Caenorhabditis elegans: one gene and its partner. The protein of the gene in region 2 purifies or fractionates together with the protein of the main gene of each other region. This does not show direct contact. Each region holds a gene or a part of one and is shown on either strand. Other genes may lie near its edges.

The links.
Region 1: the proteins of sor-3 (region 2) and spt-4 fractionate together in Caenorhabditis elegans (co-fractionation; one large-scale study listed by BioGRID). This does not show direct contact.

The regions. Positions count from the first base shown.
Region 1 is NC_003281.10:68,571-71,303, reverse strand, and holds spt-4 (Transcription elongation factor SPT4), read left to right. Parts: upstream 1-1,551; 5' UTR 1,552-1,565; coding exon 1,566-1,723; intron 1,724-1,873; coding exon 1,874-2,078; 3' UTR 2,079-2,231; downstream 2,232-2,733. Other genes in the region: attf-3 (C2H2-type domain-containing protein), read left to right, coding at 609-776. UniProt on the Caenorhabditis elegans protein: May function as a component of the DRB sensitivity-inducing factor complex (DSIF complex), which regulates transcription elongation by RNA polymerase II.
Region 2 is NC_003284.9:351,626-358,455, forward strand, and holds sor-3 (Sop-2-related protein 3), read left to right. Parts: upstream 1-1,993; 5' UTR 1,994-1,994; coding exon 1,995-2,033; intron 2,034-2,165; coding exon 2,166-2,255; intron 2,256-2,304; coding exon 2,305-2,451; intron 2,452-2,987; coding exon 2,988-3,106; intron 3,107-3,156; coding exon 3,157-3,370; intron 3,371-3,511; coding exon 3,512-3,593; intron 3,594-3,959; coding exon 3,960-4,090; intron 4,091-4,148; coding exon 4,149-4,292; intron 4,293-4,341; coding exon 4,342-4,497; intron 4,498-4,664; coding exon 4,665-4,769; intron 4,770-5,024; coding exon 5,025-5,141; intron 5,142-5,195; coding exon 5,196-5,317; intron 5,318-5,966; coding exon 5,967-6,096; 3' UTR 6,097-6,314; downstream 6,315-6,830. UniProt on the Caenorhabditis elegans protein: Probably acts synergistically with sop-2 to maintain the transcriptionally repressive state of homeotic genes in order to regulate various neurogenic identities. Specification of some neuronal identities also involves expression of non-Hox genes.

The sequences.
Region 1 (2,733 bases), on a different chromosome or scaffold from region 2:
GGGTTACTGTAGCACCGAAAGTACGCAAACACCGACTACCGTACCCCAGAACACTGAATCTGACGCAAAAATGCAGAAAAGTTTTAAAAATTGGGTTTCCGGGGTAAAAAATGACCAAGAATTCGAATTTGATGATTAGAATTCAGTAATGTGTAATTTTCAGTTTGAAAATGCCGATTTTTTTCAGAATTTTTAAATTTCAGATTTTAAAGTTTAAATTTTAAAGACTTTAGCAATAAATTCAGTTTCTACGCAAAATTTGGTTTCCGGCACGGGTGGTTTTTCGGCTTTCCAGCTTAAATTGAGAAATTTCCGGGTTACTGTAGCCCCAAAAGTACGCAAACACCGAATCTGACGACAAATTGCAGAAAAATCAGTTTTTGTAGTGAAAAATGGCTGGAAACTTGAGTTTTCATGTAAAAAACTCTAAAATTCCAATTTTCTGCAACTTGTCGTCAGATTTGGTGTTTACGTACTTTCGAGGCTACAGTAATCCAAAAAATTTTGAATTTTTACGTATTTAGAGCCAACTTTAGCGAGAAATTTGAATTTTACCACCTAAAAAGCCAAGAAATCCTATAATTTAAGCCAAAAATTTAAAATTTCAGCACGATCCTGCCACGTCATCACCGCCACCGTCACTTCTACCACACACGGGTCCATCGGAAATTGTACACCACGAGGAGGAGGTTCATATGATGTTACCGGAGGAAGAAGCCGATCTGATGGACGACGATGATCAACAGCCATGTACATCGGCTTCTATGTATCGCTAAATTTCGTGTTTCCCCCCACATTTTTTTTGAATTTTCTGTACTTTCCCTCAGTTTTTGTGCGATTTCAATGCAAAATTCGAATTCCCTGCCATTTTTTACCCCGGAAAACATTGTTTTAGAGCTTTTCTGCATTTTTGCATAAGGTCGGGTGTTTCGGGTGGTGTTTGCGTACTTTTGGCGCTACAGTAACCCGAATTTTCAAATTTGGAGCTAGAAGGTCCAATTAAAAGCTGTTTAGAGCCAAATTTCGCGGGAAATCCGATTTTGATCCTAATTTTTGGTAAATTTTAGTTTTAACCTGTGAAATTCCTGAAAAATCTTGGAATTTCCAAGATTTCTATGAAATCTCAAAATTATAGTGCATTTTGACTCGAAATTCGAGTTCCATGTCACTTTTCACCCCGGAAAACGCTATTTTTTGAGCTATTCTGCATTTTCGCGTAAGGTCGGGTGTTTCGGATGGTGTTTGCGTATTTTTGGCGCTACAGTAACCCGAATTTTTGAAAATTTAGCTAGGGAGCCCAACTAAAAGCTGTTTAGAGCCAAATCTCGCGGGGAATTCGAATTTCGCATTGAATCCTTCAGTATTTTGTACCATCATCTCCATATCCTGAGATCTCTCACCATATTTATATTTTATTAATTTTCGAATTTTTTTGTTAAAAATTTTTATATATTTTTTTGATTTTCTAATTTTTTTTGTGGGTTTCCTGAGAGTTTTTTGCTCAACTTTTTATCGATGTTTTCACGAATTCCCCAAATTTCGAAAATTTCCAGAACTTCAGCACAATGTCAGCCTCGGTACCGGCGGATCTCCGAAACCTACGTGCCTGCCTACTCTGCTCACTGGTAAAATCGGTGGAAAGCTTCCAGAAAGAGGGCTGCGAGAATTGTGAAGACGTGCTTCACCTGAAAGGCGACGAGGAGAAGGTCTATGATTGTACCAGGTAGTAGGAGTGGAAAATTTTGAATTTTTATGTGGAAATTTGAATTTCCCGCGAGATTTTAGGCGGGAAATTGGGGGATTTTAAAAATTTGAAAAAAAAATTTTTTTTGAAAATTTTTTTTTTTTTAATTCGAATTTTCCCATTTTTCAGTGCAAACTACGATGGAATGATCGCGGCGATGAGCAACAACGAGTCGTGGGTGTGCAAATGGCAGAAAATGCAGCGAAAAGTGAAGGGAATGTACGCGATCAGTGTGTCTGGAGTACTGCCGAACAATATTGTCAGCGAGCTCAAGAGCCTCGGCGTCCGCTATAAGCCCAATCAGAGAGACTACTCGACGCAATTCAAGAAATAATTTAATTATTCACCCTTTTTTTCCACTAAAATTGGTCGATTTTGAAGATTTTTCAGACCCAAACCTAACTTATTTTCTGTGTTTTTTTTTAACTTTTTATATCCATTTTTGAATCATTTTTTTCTCGATCTTCCAATAAATCACACTTACGGGAGTTTTTTCCTTTTCCTTGGAATTTTGAATGCTCTCCTAATTTTTTTGGATGGGAAAGTACAACTATAGTAATCCTACGGTACTCTGGGACTGCGACTACAGTAACCACACAGTACCCCGGCAGTACATGTACAGTAACCCTACAGCACCACTACTGTAACCCTTCAAAAACTATAAAAAAGTGGCAAAAATGGCAATTTATGGCAAAAAATCACAATTTTGAAACTCCCATAAAATGGTTAGTTTTATAGTTAGAGGACTCAAAATTGATTTTCTGGCACTATAACATTGCCCTTTTTAAGAATATAGTGGTTTTGTACAATTTCCGAAAAAATATTTTTTTGCCAAAAAAAAAAAGGACAGTCATTAGATGGCTTTAAAAAATTTGGGCAAAAATAAAAAGTTGTCTAATTTTGTTGAAAATGGGTAATTCATGTATGCAGCATTCAGAAAATCTAGGTTTAACCCATCAAAAATTTTTAAAAAGTGGCAAAATGGGCAA
Region 2 (6,830 bases):
GACCCGACAGGGAGATGCAGGGAAGGGAAATTTCTGGAGGGAGTCGTTTTTCGATTCCGCTTTCTTCAATAATTACATTTTGAGAAAAGGCGTTCGAAAACCGTTTATTACTGATATGTCAGCGGGAAAACGAATTTTTGAAAATTTTATTACAGGATTGTACTCATTATTGATTTCCCAAAAAGGAGACGTATAGTTGAGGGCTATATCTTGTACACAGACAGATGTATAGAAAAAAAACAAGTTTTGGCCTGAAAATTAATAAAAATAATATCTCTTGGCAGAGTATTTCTAATGCGACGAAACTTCATCTTCCATCAAATAAAATCAAAAACTATGAATTAAAAATACATTCCGCAAAACTTTAGTGGATAAAATGTTCAGGAGACGCAGGAAACCACTCCCCCCAGTACTAAATTTTTGAATTATTTTTTTCTTGAAAAATTTTCCCACTGAACTTTTTACAAATTTTATATGTCTCGATGCGTCTTGATGAGACCTACACGTCAATTTTTGGAAAACTAAGAAAACTCGAAAACTGACCGAGTTATGATTGAAAAAGTAGATTCGCGAAAATGGGAAAGTGTGCAAAATGTGGCACTTATTCGTCTTGCTCGGCCGACTCATAAAACTTTTCTTAATTCTGAGTTGAAAATCGTGTTTAGCGAACTTTTTTACGTGGGGTAGAAAAAAAAGTATCGAAAAAGATGAAGTAGAACTTGAGATAAAGACGAAAAACAACTTTTTGCCTTTTGCACTTATGAACTCAAACTTTCTTTCAAAAAATTCACCTCTCTGAGTAGTATCTTGCACATAAATTTGGAACAAAACCGAGCAAAACCCGAATTTTAATTCAATTAAAACATGGTTTTTTGGGGGTAAAAAGAGCAACAAAAATTTTTTTCAAACTAAGGAAAACCGCCCTGAGCTCAGTTTTGCTCCAAACTTTGTGCAGTTTTTTGCTCCCCCGTGGTGAAATATTTCTAGTAAGCTGTCAAATATTATAAAATTCAGTCAAACGGCTCTAGAGTTATTAATGAAAACGAAGTGTGACATTTTTTCGCAAGCCAAAAAAAACGCGAAAAAACGCGAAAAAGGGGCGGAGTCGCCACACTCGGCATTTATTAGAGGCTGCTTGGCAGAATTGAAATGTATCCACACCAGGGCTATGCGGCAACCGGCAACCAAGTTTTCGGTTGCCGAAACTTTTTGGGTTTGGCAACTTTGGCAATTGCCGGTTGCCAAAATTTTCAGAGTTCGGCAACTTCGGCGTCGCACATCCCTGATCCACACGTTTTATACTAGTTTCCATAAAACAGGTGTCACACGTTGACATGTATGTTTGGTACACATTTCTCCTCCTGCTGACCCACATACCACTCAGCACCGAATCGATAACTATTGGTATGCGGCCATCTCTCATAATGCCTTCATTCTCATAGTCTTATTTGATTTTCTCAGATTTTAAAGTTTATATTTACCACTAATTTTGAAAGTTTAAATGCTGATTTCAATAAGATTTTTGCTTATTTTGAAAATATTGTTTTCACTATAAAAAATATGTATATATACTGTTGCATTGAACATGCTATTTTTGAATGATTTTATTCAAAATTAATAAAAAAAGACTGAAGAGAGTGGGATTCGAACCCACGCCCCCGAAGGGACTGGTGCCTTAAACCAGCGCCTTAGACCGCTCGGCCATCTCTCCACATTTTTCTCTTTTCACTCAAGCTGTTGACATGTTGAAAAAACCCCAACCGATTTTCTTTTCTGTCTCTTTCTCTTTCTCTGCCTCTCCACCGTCTCTCACTACACCTCTCTTGACGCCACAAACAACATTCCGATATTCCGATGGTGTCGTTGTTTAGAGTGTTATTGTAATTACTGCAGATGGAGAAATTTTTTATTTATAATTCTTGTTCTCCACTTTACTAAAACAACTCAAAACGTTTTCAGATAATTCTTAACTTATTCAAATAAATATTTTCAGGATGGACACAACGAATCAGTCAGAAGACATAAAACCTTGCGTAAGTATTGAATATTTGGCACTCATTTTACTTGTTTCACGTCAAAATTATTTTAATTCCGGCAATTTGTCGGTTTGCCGATTTGCAAGACCACCTCAGCTTCATACCCTTCTAAAACAGTTCTAATTTTAGGATTCTGATTTGATGGAATCAATTTTGATGTTTGATGAGCCCATTTCCGACATTTTAGCGCATAATAAATTGTGGATTAGTCATGCCAGGGTATTTCCAACGCAATAGTTAAGGCGAACTTCTTTGTTTTTTTTTTCAGACGAGATCCAATTTCTTTCCACAAGAAGGTCGCCACATTTCCAATCAACACACCGAAGCAGCGACATCGTTGAAAATGTGGATGCTTTCAAAAAATTTGGTGGTCATTGTGAAAAGAAAGGACGATATATTCCCTTGCAAAATTCTGGTTGGTTTTTTATCAAATAATACGGTTGAAAATTGTGATATTTTTTCGCTAAAGTAAGCATCGAAAATGACTTCCCGATAATAATATTAGTTTTTTAACTTTATAATAGTATTGCATCTAAAAAACAGCCAAAAAGAGTGCAAAACTCATTAAAAAACGTTATATAAAGAAAAAGTTATTTTTGATACCGATTTCCCTAGGTGCTCCAAAATAAGGATGGGCGGCAGTTGCCGTTCGGCCAATTTTTTTTTGTCGACGAATTTGGTAAATCGGCAAACTGCCGATTCGTTGTTGGATTCGTTGTTGAAATCGTTTGTCGTCCACCCCTGTTTCAAAATCACTTCACTGCAAAATCACTACAAAATAACTGCACGAAAAAATGTGCTGAACAAATGAAAAGCCAAACTTCCATTTTTATTTAAACTAGAATTATTCAAAGTCAGTCATGAAAAAAAACAATATGGTATTATTTAAGTACCTCTATGTTTTTTCTTCCAATGTTTAAATTTACGTTCACATTATCCTCAAAGTTTCAGACACGCAACCCGGAAAACCTATTTGTGGCTCGATTTCTTGAAAGCGGAAAAGAAAAGCATATTCAGGTAGAGTATTCGGATATAATAATGACAAGAAGTGAACTCGAAAAAGCCCTGCCGTAAGTTTTAGGAAACTACTAGTATTATTTCTGAATAGTTTTTTTTTCAGATTGTGCCAACACTTGATTCCAGCGAGAAACTGGGACGACTTTTACATAATCCGCGATTTTGAGAAAGCGACTCCGTATTTTGAACAAGGCTTGTCCGCATTAGTGAAACCTGGACAGCAATTTGAATTGCAACTTGAAGATGCACCGGATTTTTACGTCATGGCCACTGTTGTCAAAAATTATCGTGGTTTCCTGTTGGTTGAATATCAAAACGTCAGTTGTGTGCAAAAGTAAAATCTGGGTGCATCAAAACTTTGTAATAAACTTTTTTTGGTGTTTTGGAAACTTGAAAAACGGAAAATATTCAGAAAAACAATGCCAGTCTTTTTGTTTCATTTTTTAATGCTTTTTCAGTTCAAACGATGGATACATATGCTCAGCCCATACTGTCATGAAATCGGTTGGGGCAAAAACGAGAAGCAAGAGTATTTGAAACGTAAGTGGAAAAAAATCCAAATTGGCGCTTTCTCACAGCCAAGTAGCTATTATTTAAAGGTGGATGTGCGCCAGTGGGGAAAATTTAAAGAAACGTTTAAAAAAGTTAAAAATTACGGTACTTATCAGGGCTGTGCAACCAAGTTGCCGGCTGGCAAAATTTTCAGAGTTCGGCAACTTCGGCAATTGCCGGTTGCGAAATTTTTCAGAGTTCGGCAATAAACTGAGTAATGTAAAAGTTTAGATTTTCAATTAAAGTAATGAGTTTGATCGAGATTTTTCAATGATTACTTGCAATTTCCCCTAGCAAAAATAGTTTGAAAATCATTTGCAAAATCGAAGAGAAGTGATTTTACGATTTTTTCAGGAGGCCCCTACAATCGACACATGAACGTTGACCTGGTTGCCGGACTCGTGAAACAATCGACAAATCAAAAACTCGGCGCTGTTCCAGAAATAGTCTTTAGAAACAATTGCCCAGTTCCCCATCGTATTCCAGTAAGTGATTTGGTATACTGTAAAAATGTTAGAAGAAACTCAAAAAACTGTTTTACAGGAATACAGTGCATGTGTCTATCTGGACTTGGATCAGAAACGCTTTTATTTTGCTCACAAGGTCACTACAAAAACTTGCAGGAACAACCGTCATTTTTTCAATATTTCAATTGGAAAAAATCTTGTGACCAGTAAGCAAAATAATGTAAGTTTATTGTTCTAGTTCTTTTTGTTTCAATCGAGTAATTTTCCAGAGACCCTACGAGTTTCATGTCTATCATCCAAGAATTCTACCATATTCAGTTGCTAAACGGATGGAAGTTCAGATAATTCTACCGCCTGATGTCAAGCTGCTTCCTGATGAATCAAATTTAGATGGTTACCTTCGTACGTATTGCAATCCGTGTGATGTAAGTAATCAGAAAATATATATATAAAATCAAATACATTAAAGGAGTAAAGAAGAGAAACAGATGAACATATTTTGGGATGAGACAAGGGATGGAGAGAAAAATATGCCATTTGAATAAAATAAAATTTCAAATTTGAATTACACGAAATACGTTTTTTTTTTCAGAAACACAAAACAAGTGACCGAGTGCAGCCTTCGCCAAAAATTGCTAAGAAAAAGAACGGACCTCTTTTGCTTGACGATACTCCGGACGCAATGTTCAGAAGCAGGGTATGTAACTTTAATGTGTAGTGTTGCTTGTTTTTCTATTTTTCTTTTCTGAACAGATGGTAATTCTCCTTTAAAAATTTAAAAATTCCTTTTTTGACTTTTTTTTTTTGACTTTTTACATAGGCTCTTCAAAAGCAAGAGATATTCAACAAAACAATCATCATACATACATTAGACCAATGTCGAGAGAATTCGAAAATTTAATTGGAATTCTTCAAAATTTCTACCACTTAATTTTCCAATAATAAATTTCAGCCGCTGCTCGGAGACAACATTGGCGCGCACAAAGAGTGGACAAATTTCATGAATCATATACCAGATTACAAACGAAAGGATTTGCTTAAGAGCATGGATACGCTCAAATTTTGTGAGGTATTAAACGCTCTTTGTTTTTTATATTATTTTATCGATCAAAATCTTGTTCAGATTTTCCGGCCTACACCTACAGGAGCGTTGCAGTTGACGGCTGCCGAAGTGACTGGACAGCAAGAATGCATGCTACGGCTAAAAGTGAGCGGCGAGGATGAACCTGTGTACATTCACAATGCGTTAGTTTTTTTTTGTGGAAATATAAAGTATTGGATGTGAGAAAAATGATTAAGTTTGAAGTGTCAATTTTATGACCAAGAAAAAATAGGAACATTTAAATTAGTGTGATGAAAACCACTTTAAGTTAAGCAAATTTGAAAGAATTTGAATGATTTTAAAACTTGAATTTGCAAAACTTGTTGCTCGTTTCCTTTTTTGTATCTTTGAAGTATTCTGATATTGCATGCAATCATTGAAGTAAAGTTGCCAGCAAAATTGTTAGGTTGAATTTTCAGAATTAGAACTCTTGGTGTAGGCATATTTACTTGGGTAAAAGTAGGTGTGAGTACACCGGCTTAAACTCTTAGACATTACTTTAGGTTTTTAAGCCAAAAAACCAAAACAGTTGTAATTTTAACGAATTTTCATTATTATTCGAATCCTTCTCAAACTCCTCAAAATTGAAAGTTATAGGTTTCCAGGCTGAAAATGTTGTCCTAAGTTTAAGGAAAAAAACAACTTACCAGTCTCTCAACCTTTTGATGAAGGGTTACAATAATCCAACGGTACCACAAAAAAAAAATAGTAACTGTAATTTTCAAATATCCACATAGACACGTTCATTTTGTCTCAAACTTACTCACTCTCACTCTCAGTTTATTTTTTCAGCGATCCACATTTGTACCATCTGGGAGCTTGTCTTGACATGGAGCTTGCTATCAACTTTCACGGAGAGTTTTTCGATGAGAAGCCCCTCAAAAAGAACAAAAACGCCAACAACGGATTTTCGAGTTTTTGACTGGTCTCTCACTCCAATTCATTTTTCATACGCTTTCATTCATATGATTTGTCATAAATTACCGCTATTATTCTATCCTCCTTGGGTATATCTCTTTTCATACCTCGCAAACATTCGTTCGTTTCAAATGTGTAACTCACTAGCAACCTTCGTGTTCCCTTGTTTTTAAGTGTGCTGTTTATATATTTTGATAATATTAGAGTAAATATGATATATGTATGTAAAATTTTATTACAAAAGTAAAAGGTGGAGTATGTGTTCGGACGAAAGTATAGATCCAAAATACTTTTGTTATAAAAGTTGTTCGAATGGTAAGTTATAATTTCATATCGAAAATAGTGATTTTGAATTTTTTACAAAAGAGATGATAAGTTTTTTTTTTCATTGAGGGGGCCGAAGATGCAACCCCGACCTCGACCCGCCCAAACCAAAAAAGTGCACACTACAGTCCAAGTCTGGGTCAAAATTCAAAAAGTTTCATATTCGATGTTTTCAGGCAAGTCTAATAATGCAATAAAATTTGGCTACACCATCATTAACTATTCTAGTAGTTGCTGCCAAACAATTCCGCGTTGATAGGTTCAATGAGAGGGAATTGTCCTGCTTTATTCTTACTGTAGATATGATTGCTGCTCACTCGCAGCCACAACACTCAAATTTGCCGGTGAGTTTAATGTAACACACTCAAATTTCCGTGCGAGGTTTTTAGTTTGCAGATATTTTGGCCTAGTAGT